Stegostoma tigrinum: one gene and its partners. The protein of the gene in region 2 interacts with the protein of the main gene of each other region in a biochemical or structural test. Links are inferred from orthologs where the notes say so. Each region holds a gene or a part of one and is shown on either strand. Other genes may lie near its edges.

Evidence for each region.
Region 1: the proteins of rptor (region 2) and akt1s1 interact in a biophysical measurement, tested with the Homo sapiens proteins (2 studies listed by BioGRID and IntAct, with this or other methods). The link is inferred for Stegostoma tigrinum from reciprocal best matches to the Homo sapiens genes RPTOR and AKT1S1.
Region 3: of the proteins of rptor (region 2) and ribosomal protein S6 kinase beta-1, one has a biochemical effect on the other in vitro, tested with the Homo sapiens proteins (6 studies listed by BioGRID and IntAct, with this or other methods). The link is inferred for Stegostoma tigrinum from reciprocal best matches to the Homo sapiens genes RPTOR and RPS6KB1.

What each region holds. Positions count from the first base shown.
Region 1 is NC_081391.1:21,799,634-21,806,931, forward strand, and holds the start of akt1s1 (proline-rich AKT1 substrate 1), read right to left. Parts: upstream 3,097-7,298; 5' UTR 3,070-3,096; coding exon 3,031-3,069; intron 1,385-3,030; exon of another isoform or gene 1-1,384. Other genes in the region: tbc1d17 (TBC1 domain family member 17), read left to right, coding at 4,350-4,388. UniProt on the Homo sapiens protein: Negative regulator of the mechanistic target of rapamycin complex 1 (mTORC1), an evolutionarily conserved central nutrient sensor that stimulates anabolic reactions and macromolecule biosynthesis to promote cellular biomass generation and growth.
Region 2 is NC_081375.1:14,204,240-14,211,324, forward strand, and holds the start of rptor (regulatory-associated protein of mTOR), read right to left. Parts: upstream 3,025-7,085; 5' UTR 2,615-3,024; coding exon 2,462-2,614; intron 1-2,461. UniProt on the Homo sapiens protein: Component of the mechanistic target of rapamycin complex 1 (mTORC1), an evolutionarily conserved central nutrient sensor that stimulates anabolic reactions and macromolecule biosynthesis to promote cellular biomass generation and growth.
Region 3 is NC_081380.1:42,724,080-42,731,685, reverse strand, and holds the start of ribosomal protein S6 kinase beta-1, read right to left. Parts: upstream 3,034-7,606; 5' UTR 2,918-3,033; coding exon 2,840-2,917; intron 2,593-2,839; exon of another isoform or gene 2,503-2,592; intron 2,384-2,502; exon of another isoform or gene 2,334-2,383; intron 1-2,333. UniProt on the Homo sapiens protein: Serine/threonine-protein kinase that acts downstream of mTOR signaling in response to growth factors and nutrients to promote cell proliferation, cell growth and cell cycle progression.

The DNA of each region.
Region 1 (7,298 bases), on a different chromosome or scaffold from region 2:
ACATTCACATCCAATGTAGATCTGTGTTTTTAATCACATGAAACCAAGCCCCATCGCTGCCTTCTCAGTAACTCCTGAAAGAGCCCATCCCCACTTTTTCCCCAAGCAGTTATTATCACTCCCTGACCCTCTGTCCAAATATTTAGCCATTAAATCCAACATGCCAAAAAAAATTTGAACATTATCACTTTTGTGGGGTTTGTGTGAATAAATGCCAGATGCCTTTCCTTGCATTACAAGTGCAGCCACGCTTGCTGGGCAATTTACAGTCATTACAGGCACCACATTAAGGCCATTTTCTTAACTAATACCAGCCATCTAGGGATTCTACATACATCAACCCATTCCTGGTTAGCTCACCAAACTTAGTCAAGTCTACATTAAGCCATGATCTTCCTCTCCACAAAGACTGTTTTATTTTCAAACTTACCAAGCTATCTCTGTACACTGTTACAAATTCTCCTACTGTGCTTTTTGCTTCATTCTCTATCCATAAACGCAAGGCTATTATGGAACAGGAGCATGATGGAACACTCCCCAGTTTCCTGGATGAGTGTGGCTCCAATACTCAAACAGCTTGACGCCATCTCAGACAAAGTAGCTCCACTTGACTGGCATCCCATCTACTTCCTTCAACATGCACTCACCCCACCATTGATGTACAGCAACAGCAGTGCATACCGTCTACAAAAAGTGTACTGCAATAACACTCCGGTTCCTTAGGCAGTATCTTCCAAACCCATGACCTTTACCACTAAGAGAAACAAGGGCTGCAAGTACACAGAAACCTGCAAGTTCCCCTCTAAGCCACAGCCCATCCAACCTTGGAACTAGAGCACTGTTACTTCACTGCCACCAAATTAAAATCCTGGAATTCCTTAATGGCCCCAAGGATGCTCTAAACCTCATGATCTGCAATAGTGCAAAACAGCAGCTCCCCACCACCTAATGGGCAAGTAGGGATGGTCAATAAATGCTGACCTAGCCAATGTGCTCAGACTCCATGAACAAAAAGAAAGATTGCATAGTTTGGGAAAACTCCATCTTTAGCAGATCCCAAGTGTTCTACTACCCACAGGTTGCCTTCACAATGGCATAGACCAAGAGCACCTCTTTAGGAGTATATTTACATCGCACTGTCCTTTTGCTATAGCTCTTATAAACCCCTCACGACAACACCATTTACAAAATAAAATGGCTGCACAGTTTGTTTGGCAAGGTTCAAAAGAAGCCAGGAAGTCAAAACGGCTATTCAGAAAACAATAATACCCTTCAGTCTCAAAGGCGTCAACACATTTGGTACAAATCCACAATTCAGAAGTAATTATTAGGTGAGAACTGTAACATAAAAGTTCATCTACATAACCATGCCAAGACAACATTCTTCCAAATACTTAAAGTTCCGAATGCTCATGCCAGCCTTGGCTCTACGGGTGGCCGTGGTTGTGGGTTCAAATCCCAAAATCACAGACTAGAGAACACAGCTTTAGTTAAAACACTATGCAATTGAGAAAATTGCACTGTTGGCGATTGTTGCTATTCAGGAAAATATTGAACAAAGGCCACCAGCTATCCTCTGATGTAAAACTTTCATCACTCAAAAACAAAAGGGGTAAAAATAAGTTCTCTCTGGTGTCTTGATCATTAGTCACCCCTCAACTACCATCCCTAAGACAGATTATCTGTCTACTTGTACATTGTTGTTTCTGGGAACTTGCTGCGCACAAATTGGCTGTACTAGTATGCACATGATCACACAGACATCAAAAGTGGTTCAGTTGAGGATGCACTGAAAGCCACTACAGAAATGCACATTTTTGCTTAACTTCCAGAAAATTATTCAAGATACCAGAAGACCTTGCCTACCACACAGAAGGGCAAGTCTCTTTTACGTTCCCAGAGGAAAGGAGACATGACTTCAGGTTAACACCTTACACAAAACACAAGATTGCACCTCTGATAATAAGCTACTGCCTTAAGGCTGCACTCAAGTATCAGCAGAGGTCTCATGTTCAAGTCAGAATGTTGTAGTGGCTTCTAATTCACACAAGGAGGAGAAATACTTGGAATCATGCATCAGCTTTCAAGGTCTCCCAAAGAACTTTAAAACTAGATGCTATTGAAGCATGGCCATTGCTGTAACACAAGGGAAAACCACAATTAACTTAACAGCAAGCTCTGATATACGCAGTGATCAGATAACCCAGTTGAGGGCTAAACACTGGGCCAGTCATTAGTGATCCTAATGATGTTCAGCATAGTGCCATAGGAGCCATTACAGCTACTTGAAAGAGCAGATAGGGACAGGACTTAACTTAATATTGCATCCAAAAGATCCCTTCCAAAACTGCAGCAGGCCACAGAGCACAACTTCACTGAGGAAAGGCTTGATAAACAAAAATATTCACATTGAGGTAAGTTAGCAGCTCATACTGCAGAAATCTTCAAATGAGTGATGTTGAAAGCAAACCGAATACACACAAATGCAAGAACACAGTACAATGCCAATACAGAACACTAACTCAAGGCTGGTTAAGGATAACGACCTCCTGCAACACACGGTAACAATCCCCACCAACCCCCAAAACCAGTCAGATAGAGCCTTACAATCACCTCTCCCAAGAACCAGAGCACGGTCAGCTAGATCACTCCAAATACCTCGTCAAAAACTACAGCATGAAGTAGCTGATCACTACAAATACAGACACCTCCTGCAAAACCAGAACTCGGTCAGACAGATCCGAACAACACCTCCCCCAAAACCAGAGCATGGTCAGGCAGATTACACACTATAAACAGCCTCAGGTGCAGAAACAAAGCAAACAGCAGCAATGGGAGAAGCGTTGATAGACACCCCCACCCCCCCCAAAAAAACGAAGAGTGAATAAAGGGTCCTGAGGCAGCGTGCAGAGAGTTGTAAGCGTGGACAGCAGGTAGGAGATGAGAAGGGACAAGTAGAGGACGCAAGGAGGGCAGAAGAAGGAAGATTAATTCACAGGAGACCAGCTGAGAGCCCACCAAGCTCCTTACCGGTGTCTCCCTCCAACCTTCCCAGAGCCAGGCCCGCATGCGCACTGCGTCGCCTTCTTATGTCAGCACGTCACCGTCTACGTCCGATGTAAACGCTTTTGAAAAAAACTACCTTTTCTACTTAAGCTCATTGCCCACTAGTATATTGTTTCAGATGCCAAGTGACAACGATCGTGGGCATTTATATTTCAAAAAGGGAACGATTAAAAATTAATCGGTGTCCACGGACATACCCACGCATGCCACGCACAAACATGGCGACCGCCCCGAACAAACATGGCGGGAGTTTGTTTACTCCTTTCCTCGAGAATTTTTAAACATTCTGCGCCGTCAGTGTGCGCTCAACTCCACTCCATCGCGTCAAACTCAACGCCATCCCTCACCTCGAAAGGTGACTTGAAGGGAGCGAGGAGCGACCGCGTGACTGTTCCTGAGTACGGAGGTGGGGGTGAGCCCCGCATTAAGATGGCAGCCGGCCATAGAGCCACGCGCAACAAGTACTAAACTGCAGCTTCGGGGCCTGCAGCGACTGGGAGAACAAAAATACAAAGGGCGTCGAGTGTTCCACCAAAAAACCAGAGGGGAAGAGCATAAGGCTTTGAATCTAAGCACAAGCTCATCCTCCCCCGACAACACACCAGTTCCCCTCACAAAGATGGCGGCCGGGAGGGAGCCTTTTCTATAATTACGATTTTTACGTTGTTGTACCATGTAACATCTGAAAGAAAGAGGCAGAAATCAACCAAAATATTCAATGGATAATATTAGAGGATCCGCGCTTTTAGCGAGGTAGAAGGATAGCTTTGCACAAGATTACTCTCGTTGCTGGCACACTGCACCCTGTTTTTGAGATTAAATCCAGACTTGTCACAATAATTTATTAGCCCCGGGCAACATCCAAGTCATAAGACACTGACGTCAGCCAACGAGCTAAAATATGAGAGATAATAGGAATTGCTAAATATGACACTGAACTTGGAACTTTATTCACAAGCCCGACTCCTAAAGATAGGGCAGTGTTTAAAAAAAAGAGTTGGACAATGAAAACTTGGGATGATGCCATTGGTATCCTGACTAAACCCCTCCTCCTCCTCCCTAATAGTAGGAGAGTCAACTAACAACCAGTAAGAAATAAGCACCATCCGGAAGTGATGCAAGGGGATTTGTTTTGAGACGAGCTGAAATAAAATGATGGGATCATCTACAGAGAGTCACAAGGTAATAACTCATTTCTTATATCCTGTTGTGTAGTACAGTGATGTGGGATGATGTGTCCGTATGTCGAGAATCCTTACACCCTTTAATACAAAGTCATTAGAATGTGGTTTAAGATGTTGCCAGCAACAGAGAGCCACAAGGTAATAAATAGTTCCTAGCTCCTTATAGTACAGTGCATGCAATATGGGATGTGGTTATTTACAGAAGATTGTAAGGTGATATTTTGTTCCTTAAATCCTACAGTAGAACAGCACTTTCATATGGTGTGGGATGTTGTTTTCTATGGTGAGTTATAAGGCAGTAATTTGCTTTTATGCCTGTAGTTCAGGGATGCTGTACAGTGTGAATTGTAATAATGAAGAAAGAGTCACAAGATGGTAACAACTTATTCTTCATGTAGTGTAGAACAGGAGCACTATAGTGTTGGGAGGGATCACGTGAAGAGAATTATAGGGAAATATGTTCATTGTAATTCATGTGCTACGGTGAAGAGTGAGGTCACTTGCAGAGAGTTACAAAATATTCACTTGTTTGTTATATGCTGTAACAAGGTGATTTACCAGAGCACTGAGGAAGGCTATCACTTTGCAGATATTAACTCGTATATATTGTACTACAACAATATACAGAATCAATTATTAATTAAAATAATTATAAAATAAAAATTAAAATAATTATTATTAATCAAGGATTAATTCTATTTTTACTAATATTAGCACCAACTATAAATTTGTATGAAATAGGGTCAGTGTTTATATGGTTATAAGGTTTGCCACTTCCAGCATTTTTTTTGTGTGTATTGTATGTATTGGTAAGGATACCTGAATGAATAGTTAGAGAAAATGTTGACATGTGGATACCTGTAGTTAGAGTAGGAATTGGTTACATGTAGTTGCAATCTTAATATTAGTGACTATCAGTATATTTAATGGTGAGTTACATACGGAGGTAACACTTGTGGATGTCTCAGTATATAGTTCCTCTTGTGATTCTTGTCATCATGAAATGTTATTATTACTAATGATACAGTAGCATACACTGATACAGCAGCGTGCTGTTAGTAGGCCAGATACTTTGTAACAAAAATAAGGGGAAAATCAGCAAAAGGATGATTTGTAGACTGCTCTCTTGATTATATTGATTCCAGATCATAATTTTGTGAGCACGTGTGTCAGGTGGTCCCAGTTTGATTGCAGTTTATTATCTTGTGTATGTTCAGGAAATCCTTTTTTGTTTTTGACATAAGAGTGCATTTAACAAATATTCCAGAATTTTAATGAAGATCATGACAATCTGTTTCACTGAGAGCAGGAAATCTTGGCCTGCACTTAAAGGGTGTAAATTTGAATATTGGTCAATGAAAACAATATTTCACTAAGTGAGTGGTTGACCTTTCGAGCAGGGTCCCTAAGAGACAGTCAAAGCAGTTACTGTTGATTCATTCTGTTAGAAATAGAATGCACAAATCAGAAATATCCCTTTCAGAGTGTGAAAGAGTTTTTTTTTCATTTTCAAACTTCATTCAAGGGATGTGGGTATTGCTGGCTGGACCAGCATTTATTGTCCATCCTTGAGAGGATGGTAGTGAGCTGCCTTCCTGAATCATAGCAGTCCATTTGTTGAAAGTACACCAGAGTACCAAGAGGGAAAGAATTCCAGGATTTTGACCCAGTGACACTGAAGCTGTGGTGGTATATTTCCAAGTCAGGGTAGTGAGTTGCTTAGAGAGGCATGGGTGAGGGGGGAAGATCTTGCAGGTGGTGGTGCTGCAATGTATCTGCTGCCCTTGCCCTTCTCAATGGTAATAGTTGGGCATCTGGAAGGTGCTATCCAAAGAACCTTAGTAAGGAGCTGCAGTGCATCATATCAAGAGAAGGCCATGGCTAGCAAATAATTGGGGAGGAAATGAGCAAGTCAAACGTGAAAAGCCAGTGGACATGATTACTTGGATTTCCAGAAGGACTTCGACAAGGTGCCATGCAGGAGGGTGCTAAGTAAGAAAAGACCCCATAACGTTAGGGCCAAATTTCTGGCCTTGATAGGGGATTGCCTGACTGGCTGAAGGCAGAGAGCAGGGATAAAGGGATCTTTTTCAGGGTGGCAGCAGTGTCCCGTAGAGTTCGGCAAGTGTCAGTGTTGGGACCACAACTATTCGTGTTATACATTTTAACAATCTGGATGAAAGAACTGAGGATGTTGTTGCTAGCTTTCAGATGACTGAAAGATAGTGTTGAGGGAGGAGGGAGGCTAAGAATGACCTGGGCAGGCTAGGAGAGTGGATAAGGTGGCAGATGGAATACAATGTGGGAGGGTGTGAAGTTATGCACTTTGGTAGGAAAAATCGAAGCATAGACTATTTTCTAAATGAGGAAAGGCTTCAGAAATCTGAAGCACTAATGAACTTGGGAGTTCTAGTTCAGGATTCTGTCAAAGTTAACATGCAGGTTCAGTTAGGAAGGGAACTGTAATGTTTGTGGTCCCTTTTTTTTGGACTCCAGTAAATATGTTCTGCTAGGTGTGAAATGCCTGCTGAAAGGGACCTGCAATTCTTTTTCCTTTTGTGAAAACTTGCTCTATAAGGCACTTTGAACCAAACCTCATGTTCAAAATGGACATCCCATTCTGTGCATTAAATTGAAATCACATTTGATCTTATTTTCAAACCTGCGAGCTTCAATACCTGCAACTCTGCTGAGAGGCCAAATGTTTATTTCCACCCACTATTCCTTTCAGCAAGTCAATTGTATTTGTGCCCGCAGTGAAACCTGAGCATGTCTGTAAGGCTCGGAGGGTAAACGCACTATTCTCAGGGAAAGTGAGCAACTCAAGTCTGTGAAGATCCTTGCCTTCTGTTACCTGGCAATATGCAATTAGTTCGACCTCGGCTGGTACAGGAACACAGAAGTCAAAGTTGGTCTGGTATGTATTACGCCGGGGATGGAAAGAAAGTGCAGCGGGATCCTGATGAACATTGAGGATCCATCTTTATAGCTGGCTGGCGAGTATGGAATAGGCAAAGTGGCAACTGTCCCCATGGCTAATAGCTGAAT
Region 2 (7,085 bases):
AAATCCTGGTTTGTTCAACCTCTTTCTATAACTCAATGCCTTGAGTCCTGGCAACATACTTATAAATTTCTTCTGCACTCCTTCCAGTTGAATAACACCGTTCCTAAATCAAGGTTATCAAAACTGAACACAATACTCCAACTGCAACATAACTTTCCAATTTCTATACTTAATGCCCTGATTGATGAAGGCCAATGTCCCAAAAGCCTTCTTCACTGCCCTGTCTACCTGTGACTCCACTTTCAGAGAATGATGCACCTGAACTCCAAGGACACTCTGTTACACTCCTTAAGACCCTACCATTTACAATGGTCCCCAGTTCAACTGCCCCAAATCTTCATGTCTTTCTCCACAGTAAACACAGTGGAGAAATGTTGAGGACCTCATCCATCTACTGCAGTTCCACACATACCTTTGGTCTTTGAGGGATCATATTCTCTCTCTAGTTATTGTATTTTCCTTTAATGTACTTAAAGAATCTCTTCGGATTCACCTTAATCTTCTCAGCCAAAGCTACCTCATCTTCCTTTTCACCATCCTCATTTCCTTCAGTAAACTCTGTATCCCCTATCTACCTCTAGGGATTCCCTTGATCCTTGCTGCTCATTCCTGAGCCATGCCTCCTTTTTTCTGGTCAAAGCCTAAATATCTCTTGTCATCCAGGATTCCCTACTCTTGCCAAACCATGCCCTTTACCCTCACAGGAACACACAGACCTTGAACTCTAGCTATCACGCTTTTAAAGGCCTCCCACTTGCCAGAGGTCCCTTCACCTGCAACAAACTACTCCAATCAACTCCTGCAAGCTCCTGCATAATTCCATCAAAACTCGCCTTGCCCCAATTTTGAACTTGACCCTGTGGACCAGTTTTGTCCTTCTCCATAGCTATTTTAAAATTGACAGAATTATGGACACTGGTCCCAAAGTGCTCTCCCACTGTCACTTCAGTCACCTGCCCTGCCCTGCCCTATTTCACAACAGTTGGTCGAGTTCTGCCCTTCCAAGTAGGGCCCTCTACATACTACTTGAGGAAACTTTCCTGAGTGCACCCCATCTAAATCCTTAATACTACGGCAGTCCCAATCTACATTAGGAAAATTAAAATCCCCCACTACGATGACCCTACTGTTCCTGCAAGTCACCCCAGTCTCCTTGCATATTTCTTCCTAATTCCCAATCAACTATTTGGGGGGGCCTATAGTACAACCCCATTAATGTCACCATCTCCTTATTTCTTAGCTCCAAAGCCTCACTAGATGATCCCTCAGTTATTTCATCTGACTACTGCTGTGAAACACCCCCTCCCCACTTTCCAAAAGCACCTACACCCTGGCACATTAAGCCGCCAGTCCTGTCCCTCCCTCAGCCATGTTTCTTAATGGCTATAGTATCCCAGCTCCACATACCTATCCACATCAAGTTCATCGGCCTTATCTGTCAGCCCTCTTGCATTGAAACAGTTACAAACTAATCCATCAGGCAACCCTCGCTCTGTCCTGTTCCAGCCAGACCTGTCTCTTGAACGTGCTATTTCTGACTCCCCTATCTCTTCCCAGCCTCAACTTGATTCCCTATTGAGGATCCCACCCTTTTGCCAATCTAGTTTAAAGGCATATATCCATTATTTAATTCCAGCATCAAATAATGAAGTTTCCAAACAAAATTTAATAACATCTAAGACTTTTACAGTATGACACCTCCAATTAATCTGCATTTAGAATCATCTAACTTTACTCTCCAAGGTTTGCAAACTTATCAATTACATTGTTGGTCAGGGATGTTAAAGTAATACTTTTGCCTAAAACTACCAGAATCTTGTTTAAAACACTGATAGCCATGAGAAATATGTAGATTCAGCAACCACAGTGTCAAAAACCATTTTAAAAATTGTTTTAAATACCAAGTACTTGACTCAAGAGTTACATGCTGGAAATGTACTTTACTCTTCGTTTAAAAACGTGAAGTGAATTCGAAGCATTGCTTAAAAGGTTATTTCCTGACAAATGTGTCGCTGGTGATAAATTCTACAAAACTGTACTTATGCTTCCACATGGGTTCTTTGGAATTTAATTACGCCTCCTGTTCAAAGATCAGGCATAATCCATATTTAACAAAGCAAGACGAAATGCTGTAACGATTGTGCAAAATACAAAGGTTTGCGTTTAGAGTTAAAGCAGCATTTTATATGGTAGAGTTTAATGGCAAAAAGTTGTGGCAATTTCGGGCAATGGAGTAAATAAACTTTTGAAAACCATAACGCTCGTGTTTCCTTTTGCTCACTGAAAGCAAACCCATGCGGAGAGGAATGGGAAGTTTTATTGCGAGCTGCACAGAAACTTTTTTGTTAAATGGAATGGGATGAGGATGGACGAAGGCAGCCCCAGGGAAGGTGTAGCGAGCGAGGGCGTTTGAATGTAACCTCCAGGCAGGTCAGGGAGACAGAGAGAAGGGGGAATTTACCCGGTCTTTCATGCGCCAGCTCTGGGTGACCGCCTTGGATCCCTCGATTTTCTCCGAGTGCCGCTTCTTTACGAAAGCCACCGGGAGGTTCCAGTCGGTCATGTCGCCCTGCTCCTCCTCCAGCAGGTCCTCCAGGAGGCTGGCTCCAGCCATGCTGCGGCCCGGCTCCACTCAGTACAACCAGAGTCTGACACCTCTCCCCCTTCCCCCCCCCCCTCAACCACCTCCACCTCAGGAGAAGGGGGGGGTGATGGAAAGAGCAAGTGGAGGGGGAAGTGAGGGGGGGAAAAGGGGTGGTGAAAGCTGACAGCGAGACGCAGTCTATTCGGACAAGGAGGTACCGGTGCCGGTACGGCCGCCTCGAAATCCCGGTCGGCGGCCCCTCATTCCGCCCGAACGGAGGACGCCATCTTGGTCGAGGCCACAATGCCCCGCGCCCCTACGGCGAGCCGCGCGGCTCCATCCGCGCAGTCGCAACCGGTCTCAGGCTGGAAGTGTGTTTTTTATGTTGCCTCATGTATGTGCTCCGTCCTCTCAGTCTAACAGACTGGACTCAGTCTTTCATACTGACTCTTCTCAATCTTTCACTCTGACTGTGTTCTCGATGCTTCAAAAATACAGACTGCCAGAAAAACTCAGCGGGTCTGGCGGTTTCTGTGGAGAGAAATCAGAGTTTTCAGTTCAAGAGACCCTTCTTCAACTTGACGGTGGACTACAATCTGATTGTGTTCTCAATCCTTCAAACTGACTGTCCTCTCAATCCTTCACCCTGGCAATCTTTTACCCTGATTGTATTCAAAATCTTTCACCTCGATTGTGTTCTCACACATTTAATCTGACTGTATTTTCAATCTTTCAACTTGACTGTTCTCTAAATTCCCCACCCTGACTGTATTCTCATCAGTGATAATGGGAACTGCAGATGCTGGAGAATCCAAGATGTAAAATGTGAGGCTGGATGAACGAAACGTCAGCTTTTGTATTCTCATCATTCAACTTGAACGTTTTCTCAATCTTCAACCTGACTGTGTTCGAAATCCTTCAGCCTGACTATCTTTCTTCTCTTCTATACCTAGCATATTATTTCTTAACCTGTGAAAAATAATACTTGTTCAAAAACGTTTTTATGCATTTTACTCATCCACACTGGATCTGAACTCCAGAGGTGAGGTAAGACCCTGGCATTAAGGCAGCAGTTGACAAAGTGTGATATTTAGGAGTCCCAACAAAGTTAGAGTCAATTAGAAACAAGAGGGAACCGCTGCGCTGACTGGTGACATGTTTTATGCAAAGGAAAATGGTTGCGGTTGATAGAACTCAGTCATCTCAGCTATAAGACTCTCTGCAGGATTTGATACTACAGTGTGAAAAACACAAAGGCCAAGTGGTGTACAGCATCATCTTGCAAAATAGCAATGGTTAAATAATCTGTTCTGGTGATGTAGCTTGAAGGATAAATATTGGCCAGAAAACAAAGAGAACGGCCCCACTCCTTTTTCAATAATGCTGCGGGAGCTAGCATTAGTTTAACATTACAGAATTAAGGTGGTATGTCCAACACCCTTGGTACTATCTCAGTGCAACATCTAGTGTGTCGGTGAAGGTAATGTGCTCAAGTCTCTAGAGCCAGATTTCATCCCCACAACTCAGGTGAGAATGTACCCACTGAGACAAGAATGACTTTTCACATCTCTCATCTGTCATTCAACTTTTGAAATACCTTTGCTTAATGTCCCATGCAATTTTAATTTTATTTTACACCTTAGTTTTCTTCTAATTTGTTTAGCTGAAAATCAGATAGGCAAGCCAAACCTGCTTAGAATTTTAATCTTTCTGTCCCTTTAATGATAACATATCAGTAACTCATCCATCCATAACAAGTTGAGCTAAGCAGAGTTACTCATACTATTGAGGACTGAATTGAGATATGTGAACATAAAATAAAAAGCGGAAAACAAAAGATAAGACTGAGCCTTTAACATAAGCTATGATTGTGTGACTTGGAGATACAATATAAACTAATAAGAGGGATCTTCGGGATTGACATCAGAAGGTATTTCTACATGCAGAGTGATCAATACTCGGCATCATTTCTTGAGTAGGGTCAAAAAGCCAAACATCTGAAATCATTCAAGAGATAGTCAGATGCAGTCATGGATGAACCATGATCTTTTTAAAAAATTAGCTAGACAAGCCAACTGACAGTCTTTGTCACCTCTTTGTGAAGATCAACTTGCTTTAAGAAGTAAAATCACCTGTAAAAATTTAATGATGTAACCCTTTCTTTTCACAATAAGTCATATCAAACTTAGGTATTTTCAATCATGAGGCACAGATATGTGGCACTCAGCGCTACAAAAACAAAATCGGCTAAAACAGGAAGTTGTGTACATTAACTGAATCAATCCACAGGAGTTGGCTAAGTAGTGCTAATATGTCCTCTACATCTTAACCTTGTTCTTTCATCTTTGACCTCTTTTCCTGTCCTTTCCTTTCTTAGGAACATAGGAGCAGGAGTAGACTATTAGCCCACTGAGTTTGTTTTTACCCTAACACTAACCCTAATCCACCATTCAATTAGATCATGGCTAATCATCTACCTCAGCGCCACGTTCTCACACTACCTTCATATCCTTTGATGTTGGTAGTCTCCAGAAATGTATTGATTTCTAACTTGAATATGCTCAAAGAATGAATTTCCACAACCCTCTGAGGAAAAGAATTCCTAAGAACTTCTTTCGCATTGCAGTCCTAATTGATTATTATTCTGTAACTTTGCCACATGGTCTAGACTCACCAGCCAGAGGAAACTTCCCTCTTATATCTACCCTGTAAGAATTTTCTGAGTTTTAGTAAGAACACCTCTCATTCTTTGATATTCTATGGGATACAAGACCAGCTTCCTCATTGTCTCTTAAAAAAAGAATCCCACATCCTAAGGATTAGTCTGGTGAATATCCTCTGCATTCTGTCTGTAGCAAATACGTCCCTCCTTAAATAAGGAGAACATAAACTGCATGCAATATCCCAGACTCAGTCCCACCAATGTTGTACACAATTGTAGCAACATCTTTTTCTCCTGTGTTCAAGTCTTCTTGTGATTAAGGCTGTCATACCGTTTGCTTTCCTAATTAACTCATATTTTCATAGTTGTTTACAGATCAGAAGGAGGCCATTCATCCCATCATGTCCACACTGGTCAACAATCCCGTTTTCCAGCATTTGGTCCAAAACCACGAAGGCTATTGCAACGTGAGTGAATACCTAAATATTGCTTAAATATTACCATAGATACAGTTGCTGGCTACACCTGCTTTCAATAACTCATGAACAAGTACAGCAGGTCCCTTTGGACATCAAAACTTTCCAACCCCTTACCTTTTAAAACAAATACTCTTTCTTTCTGTTTTTCTTCCAAAGTGAATAGCTTCACACTTATTCACATTACATTCCAACTAGTAGTTATGAATGGAGCCTTAATTAAGATTGGATACTATGGACAGATATAAGACAGTGAACAGAATCATTTGTATGAACTAAACCCGGACAGTAGAACAAGGAGGAACATGTGCATCTTGCCAATTGCAGTTCTTTACACAAGGATGATTAATTGTACTTTAGTTTGTGAGCGAAAGGTGTTGGAGTATAATGTAAGCAAAATCTCTGGAATCTGAAGATATGATTGGGTGCTGTGATAGAGAGGATTTTTTTTTCTTGCTGGATGGACAGTACAGCCATCCTCATCAGTATCTATCTTGTGAGCTGCCAATTGTCCATAACATTTAAGCAAGCAGGCATTTTTAACTCCTGGCAAGTGAAAGCAATTACCTCAGCAATTATTTTTTCTGATTTTAAACTACGAACAACCTACGACTCTATCACAGCAACCAGTCATTTAAAGAAGAAGCAGTTACCTACAAATATATCACTGCCCACAAGCTTCACAAAGAAAGGTTCAGTACATTTGCAACAGATTCTTTGGGATGAAGCTACAACCCTGAAACATTTAAATTTGACAGTCATACATAAGGTGTAGGAAATTTATCTTTCCAGTTGTGATTACTGAATCACAGGCAAATGTCAAGACAGAGGCAGTTCATTTACATTTTGATCAAGCCAATCCATCTCAAGAACATATCAAAGATTGATCTTCTAAACTAGACTCATAAATCTTTGAATTTTTGACTCTAAAATTTGCCATGTGATTTTTCAGATATAATTTTGGTAATGTTCCATTAATTTCCATCTTTTTACAATCCTATTTCCTTTCGCTTTTTCTTATTTTAGAAAGTGAAGTAGCTACACAGAGGTTGGTATCTGGTCGCCAAGCCACCCTTCATTTGCACATGAACAGTCCATGACTTTAGTGCTGCTTTATTCAGAGTCAGATACTAGAGAGTCAGTATCTCTGACATTCACCCAACTAACTGTCAGCCAGGACTCTCTGACTGGACCAGATTCGCAGCACCAATCAGAGAACTCATATTCTGTGAGATCATTGCAGAAGAAAGTATATGTGAGGCAGAATTTTTAGAATAAAATAGACTCCCCCATTTAACAGAAATAAAGAAAAATAGGGAGAAATTGCACCTTAGTTGGTATTTTTGCTCATTGCAAATCTTGG
Region 3 (7,606 bases), on a different chromosome or scaffold from region 2:
GGTCAGAAATGGGGACACTCTCTGATTGCACAATGGTCAGTACTTGCAACTCTTCAAATGGTCCATATCCAAATGTAACAAGATCTGAATAATATCAAGGCTTGGGCTGAAAAGTGCCAAATAACATTCACATCACACAAGTACCAGGCAACATCTCTTTTTGGAGAGAGTCAATCTAATCACCGTTCCTTGACATTCAAAGGCATTGCTGAATCAATCACTATCAATGTCCCTGGGGTCGCCATTGACCAGAAACTGAATTACTCTAGCCATATAAATACGGTGGGTACAACAGCAGGTTAAATGAAGGCCAGGAATACTGAAACGCTGTGTGAATTGGTGAAGTACTTGCATCTCGAGTGTGATAGAACATCTCCAGTTGTCTGAATGAATGAAGCGCCAAAATCACTCAAGAAGCTTCATTCTATACAGGACAAAAGTTTTTTTGCAGGGCGGGAGTACAGTTGTAAAGGTTATAATATCTTGAAAATTCCAAATCACAATTTAATGCTAATAGCCAAACCCAAAATATTACATAAATTTATCAGACACCAAAAATACCTCCAGATATTCACCAGTATGTGCCTCAAATAGGTGGAAGTTTCAGTGTAAACTGTCATCCATGCTGCCAACAGGGCCAGATTCAGCCACGTTCACAACTTTCATGCAAATAATGGCAAGAACTAAGATTCCGTCTAGTAAATTGCACTCAAGCACAAATCAGCACCTTCAGAAGAACTTGCAAGGCAGCTAAAACTAACCTTTGCACAAAATGTCTGCAGATATGGATAGCAGAGAGCCCGAATTTCAAACGCATGCCTCTAAACAAATTTCTCTACCAAATCAAAATCTGGCTTGAGAAATATTCATTCTACAACAATAGTAACTTTGCATTGAAAGAAAGCAAAACTTTGCAGAGAATTATCCTCAAAGAAGGAAACTTCCTATAACTTTGTAATTGAAACCAGATTTACTCAGTCATTAAACCATTCCCAAAATACAGTATGAAAAACAGTACAGTTATAGGCAGAGTTTGCCAGGGTACTGGCAAAATAAAACTATTAAAACAAAGCACTAAACGCTGAGCAAGAACAGTCAGGGGCAACAGACTGTACATTTATTTCTCCTTCAAAAGCATGTGGCACCGGCTCAATACCTTGAAACAGTGAAATAGAATTAGGAACTCACCATGCAAGCAATCACAGGTACATTATCAGTTGCACATAAATAGCCACATTTGTGGATATTTTGCACTGCGTTCACATAATATAGACAGGATGGCAAAAGAAACAGAAATGACACGGGGAAAACCATTTTTACACATTAGATGGTTAGGGCATCCAGAATGCACTGCATGAGCCATGTGGCAGAGGCACTTTTAAACGTGGATTTCTAAAAGTTAAACCTGGATAGTTATTTGAAAACATCTGTAGGGCTCTAGTTTAAAAAAGGCTGGGGAATGGGACTAATGGGGATCCGTTTGCAAAAAGCCAACATGGATACAAAAGAGCAAACTGGGTCCTCCCAAGCTGCAACTGCACCATGATACTATAAATCACACTGGGGTCAGACAGTGCTCACCTTTCTCCAAACTAAATGCCATGCCGCATGACAAGTCAGTTGTCCTAAGTATCACAAATGTTATCTTTTACCAGATAAAACTTACAATGGATTTAGAAGAATTAGCACAACACTTACTCAATTGTTCTGTTCTCAGACAGAATACATTGATTCATGAAAAAAGGAGTAGATGTACTGTCCAGGTATACCAGAATTAACATTTCTACTCCACATATTCTCCTAACAGCTCATTCAGCTGCGACACATACAAGTTTTAATATAGGCACAAAAAGTATGTTTCAGGTGTCAGTAATTCAGAAGCTAGTTTGTCAGTTGCAGTTGATAGACAACTCTAATTTTAAACTGGAGTATACTCAGGGAAGGGGTAACGTGGTCAGCCTCGACAGCAATTTTCTCCTTTCTCGAGCCAAGGGGAAATCACAGACCTCGGGCAGGTGCAACCAACAATGCCACGTTGCGAGTACAGTAAGATGTTTCGCTACTGAGAAAGCGTTTCTTCAACAAAATGCTGCATAGATTTCTCCAAATGCAGCAAGGGGAGAGAAGGAAAGGCTGTACTGAAGAGGGCCAGAATCTCATACGTAATTAAAAAAAAATCTTCCGCGTTTGTGGACCCTCAGCTGGGCTGGAAACATGCGTACACCTTCGTGAATTTTATCCCGTGTTACTATATCGCATTCAGGAAAAGGCAGTCAGGCGCGGGTTGTTTGTGCAGTCTATAGGGTTTATTTCATGGTTTGATCTATCCGCACCTGTCACTCTCCCTGGGTTCAGCCGCTTCCTTTCCTCGAGCTCCAAGGAGTTACTGCCACGAGCGGGGCATGGAGCGGGCGAGCGGGGCATGGAGCGGGCGAGCGGGGCATGGAGCGAGCGAGCGAGCGGGCGGGCATGGAGCGGGCGGGGCAGCGCGAGGCAGCTGTCGCGAACTCCAGGCGTTTGGTTCCCCACCTGCCAAGGAGCGGGGACGTTCCGAGCGCACCGTACTGCAACAGCTCCTCCCTACTATAACAGGTAGGCCTACATCCTTCTTTAAAGCCGCTCTTCACACCCCCCAGTCCGGGCCTCAATCTCCCTCTCGGGCCATTTACTGTTGCTGGGAAGGGAGTGAGCGTGAAGTGGTCCCTTGTCAGGATTTCCCTCCCTCCCCTCCGGCCTACTCCACAGGCCTCGCCTTCCCCTGAGGCAGCGACAACACCGGGTTCTCCTCTGCCTCACTGCCCCCACCCAACCGCCCGCCGCGCCAATTCCCTTTCTTTACCCCTTCCAGCTCCTCGTCCGAAACGGCTTCTTCCTGCTGGTACTCGGGGTCCAAGTCGATGTCGAACACCCCGGCCATGTCTCCCGCTCGTATTCGCTCTCGCTCGCTCGCTCCGTGCGTCGCTCTCTCGTTTCCCCCCTCCCCGGCTTCGCTCCCTCATGGGTTCCACTCGCCCACCATCACTGCCGACGCATGCGCGGCCCGCGGGTTGAGGAGAGCGCTCCTGCTGGCCGGCTCTCTCTCTCTCCACCCCCTCCCCTCCCGAGGGAGCAGGCGTGCGCGTGCCCTACGTACGGGTTGTGGTAAAAGGGAGTGGCGAGCATGCGCAGTTTCGATCAGCCCCCGCTTGGCGCAGACCCCTGTCAGAGCCAGCAGAGGTGAGTGCTGCGCAGGAGCAACCCAGCTGTGTTTCAAGTCTGTCAGATTTGATTGACATTGAAGTGCCTTGGAGCACCGTGGTAGTGTCCCTACCTCAGAGGCAGGAGTCACAGGTTCAAGTCTCGCCTGTCACCAGAAGTTAGAAGTGTTCTAACCTCTGAGAGGTTGATCAGAAAATATTCTGACAGGCCTTGAAATCCAACTCCATTACAGGTTAATCTCTCCCCTGAGCTAAGGTTTCTGATAGCCACCTTTTCAAATGTGCGTTCTTAGCGAAGGCAAAGAGGTTAAAAGGGCTAGGAATTCTGAAAATAAGCGTTACTGGCTGGAGCTACGTTTCCTCTTCACAGGTGCTGCCAGACCTGGTGAGTTTTCCTAGCAATTTCTAGTTGTGGCATGAGCATAGAAGATCCTCCCAATCTGTGTGGACAAAGTTCCTGATTGCTGACACCACACGATCCGCTCCTGCTTGAGTAAGCAGGTGCCTGGTTTCCAGAAGTTCTTAGCGTGGCACGAACTTGGGACACATATTCCTCCACCAGCAGTAGTGCTATTACAGTGAACTGTCACCAGATTGAGCTCTGAAACTTTCTAAATGTGATATTCCCACTAAGGGGTGGGGAATGTAGGAGGTAGCCTTGCTGATACTTCCTCTGAAGCCCTGGAACTCTCCTCTGAGATCAACTAATGGTTTCTGGCAGAGTAGACCATTTCTCTGCCAGGGTCTCAGACATCCCACTGGTACCTACAAGAACAAGGAAGAGAAAATCTTGAAGCCAGTGGTTTGAAGTGGTATGTAATGAATTGCACTGACAGCAGAGTTAGTGTGAAATAAACAACAGCATGAATGTCACAGCATCTCTGCAGGAGTGGTGCTGGTCAATTCTGTCCTTGGGGCTGAGGAACCTCATGTCAGGCACCTGTTCACATATCTAAGGCTTTGCGCTAGTGGGTAGCATGGCTGTTAGTGCTGGTGCTAGTGGTCAAAAGGTGCTGTGGCATCTTGGGCAAATGAGTAGGCACTGCAGAAGCCATGAAGGGTTAGTGACATGGAAGGTTGGGATTGCGTGGGGTTGGGGGGAAACAGGAATCAGTGAGGGGTTGGAGACAATAGTGAAAGTGTTAGAGCATGAGCCTGGATGTGAGGTGGGTGCAATAACAGAGATAGAGAGAGTGAATGTGAGGTAACAGAAAGAAGAATGTGGCACAAAAACAAAGTTGCGACAAAAGCTCAGCAGGTCTGGCAGCATCTGTGAAGGAAAAAAGCGGTGTTAACGTTTCGGGTCCGGTGACCCTTCCCCCTCAACAGATGCTGCCAAACCTGCTCAGCTTTTCCAGCAACCTTGTTTTTGTTCCTGATTTACAGCATCTGCAGTTTTTTCGGTTTTTAGAAGAATGTGGCACTTACCCTGAAGGTGCAGAGAAGACCTTGTGAATAGCTGGCTATTCCTCTGGATCGTGGAGACCACGCAAACCTTTGTGGAAACCTTAGACAAGGTTCCATGGTGTGGTCTCCTCTGCCAGTCTCCTGGCAATAGGACACCTTACCACTGGCCCATGCCAATGAATACAACTTCCAGATCTCCATTGGAGAACCACTGCGAGTTGTCTCTTTTCTGACCTCTTTGCACGTTCTTCTGGGAATGGCACGTGCTAAGCTAGAGTTATGTGAGAACAGCTTCAGAGTGGTGATGTAGCTAATTATTGAGGTGAATTTGGTGTAATATGGTGAGAGATTTCACTTTGCCTTGTGGCAAGAAATCCTCCAAAACATGTGATGAAACTGACAGCCGAAAAAGCATAAAATTCACCCTGAGATAACATGGTGTGAAGCTGGATGAACACAGCAGGCCAAGCAGCATCAGAGGAGTAGGAAAATTGACATTTCAGGTCAAGACCCTTCTTCAGAAATGTGGGAGGGGAAGGTGATTCTGAAATAAATAGGGAGGGGGGAGGCGGATAGAAGATGGATAAAGGAGAAGATAGGGTGAGAGGAGACAGACTGGTCAAAGAGGTGGGGTTAGAGCCAGCGAAGGTGAATGTAGGTGGGGAGTTACAGAGGGATGTGTCAGTCCAGAGAGGACAGATAGGTCAAGGAGGTGGGATGAGGTTAGTGGGTAGGAGATGGGGTTGGGGCTTGAGGTGGGAGGAATGGTTAAGGAGGCAGGGACGAGCTGGTCTAGTTTTGGGATGAGATCAGGGGAGGGGAGATTTTGAAGCTTGTGAAGTCCACATTGATACCCTTGGGCTGCAGGGTTCCCAAGCGAAATATGAGATGGTGTTCCTACATTTTTCGGGTGGCATCATCGTGACAATGTGGGAGGCCCAGGATGGACATGTCATCTGAAGAGTTTGGGGGGGGCGCAGTTGAAATGGTTTGCGTCTGGGAGATGTAATTGTTTGTTGCGAGCTGAGCGTAGGTGTTCCGCAAAGCAGTCCCCAAGCCTCCGCTTGGTTTCCCTGATGTAGCGGAGGTCACAACGGGAACAGCGGATACAGTATATCACATTAACAGATCAGCAGGTGAACATCTTTTGATGTGTGGTCTTATTAAGGCCTGGGATGGGGGTGAGGTGGGAGATATAGGTGCAGGTGTAGCACTTGCTTCAGTTGCAGGGAAAGGTGCCAGGGGTGGTGGGGCTGGAGGACAGTGTGGAGCAGACAAGGGAGTCATGGAGAGAGTGGTCCCTCCGAAAAGCACGTAAGGGTGGGGAGGGAAAAATGTCTTTGATAGTGGGGTCAGATTGCAGATGGTGGAAATGTCGGAGGATGATGTGTTGGATTTGGAGGTTGGTGGAGTGGTACATGAGGACAAGGGGGATTCTATTTTGGTTATTATTGTGGATAGGGGGTGTGAGGGATGAGTTGTGGGACATGCGGGAGACACAGTCAAGGGCATTTTCAATCACTGTGGAGGGGAAGCTGCAGTCCTTGAAAAAAGAGGACATCTGGGGTGTTCGGGACTGGAATGCCTCATCTCCAGATGTGGCGGAGGTGAAGGAATTGGGAATAGGGGATGGCCTTTTAACAGGAGGGTGGGTGAGACGAGTATTCTAGGTAGTTGTGGGAGTCGGTGGGCTTAAAATGGATATCGGTTTCCAGGTGGATGCCAGAGGTGGAGACAGAGAGGTTCAGGAAGGTGTCAGAGATGGTCCAGGTAAACCTAAGGTTGGGGTGGAAGGTGTTAGTGAAGTGGCTGAACTGTTCGAGCTCCTCATGGGAACACAAGGCGGCGCCGAAACAGTCATCAATGTAACGGAGGAAGAGATGGGGGATAGGGCCTGTGTAGCTTTAGAACAGAGTTTGTTCCACATATCCTACAAAGAGGCAGGCATAGTTTGGGCCCATGCGGGTACCCATGACCACTCCCTTTGTTGGAAGTGGGAGGAATTACAGGAGAAGTTATTGAGGGTGAGAACAAGTTTGGCTAAGCAGATGAGGGTGTCACTGGAGGGGGACTGGTCGGCCCTGCGGGACAGGAAGAAGCGGAGGGCCTTTAGGCCATCTGCATGGGGAATGCACGTGTATGGGGACTGGATGTCTGTGGTAAAGATGAGGTGTTGGAGACCTGAGAATTGGAAGTTCTGGAGGAGGTGAAGGGCGTGGGTGGTGTCACGCATGTAGGTAGGGAGTCCTGGACCGAGGGGGAGAAAATGGAGTCGAGATAGGTGGAGGTAAGTTTGGTGGGGCAGGAGCAGGCGGAGACAATGGGTCAACTAGGGCAGTCAGGTTTGTGGATTTTGGGAAGGAGATAGAAGCGGGCAGTGCGGGATTGGGGAATGATGAGGTTGGAGGCTGTGGGTGGAAGGTCACCTGAGGTGATGAGGTTGTGGATGGTTTGGGAGATGATGGTTTGGTGCTCAGGGGTGGGATCATGATCAAGGGTGCGGGAGGAGGAGGTGTCGGAGAGTTGGAGCCTGGCCTTGGCAATGTAGAGGTCAGTGCTCTATACCACTACTGTGCCTCCCTTGTCTATGGTGAGGTCGGGATTGGAGCGGAGGGAGTGAAGGGCTACACGTTCTGTGGGGGAGAGGTTGGAGTGCGTGAGGGGTTGGAGAGTTTGAGGCGATCAATACCTCACAACAATTAGAGATGAAGAGGTCAAGGGAGGGTAGGAGGCCTTGGGGTGGTGTCCAGTAGGAAGGGGTGCGTTGGAGGCAGGAGAAGGGGGTCAGTGGAGCGAGGGTTAGGCTTACAGTTAAAGAAATAAGCACGGAGGCGGAGGTGGCAGAAAACTGCTCAATGTCCAAACGAGAGTTGTATTCGTCGATGTGTGGGTGGAGGGGGAAAAAGATGAGTCCTTTATTGAGGACTGCCTGTTTGTCCTCGGTAATGGGGAGGTCTGGGGTGATGATGAAGACTCGGCAGGGCTGGGTGTTATTGTCTTGT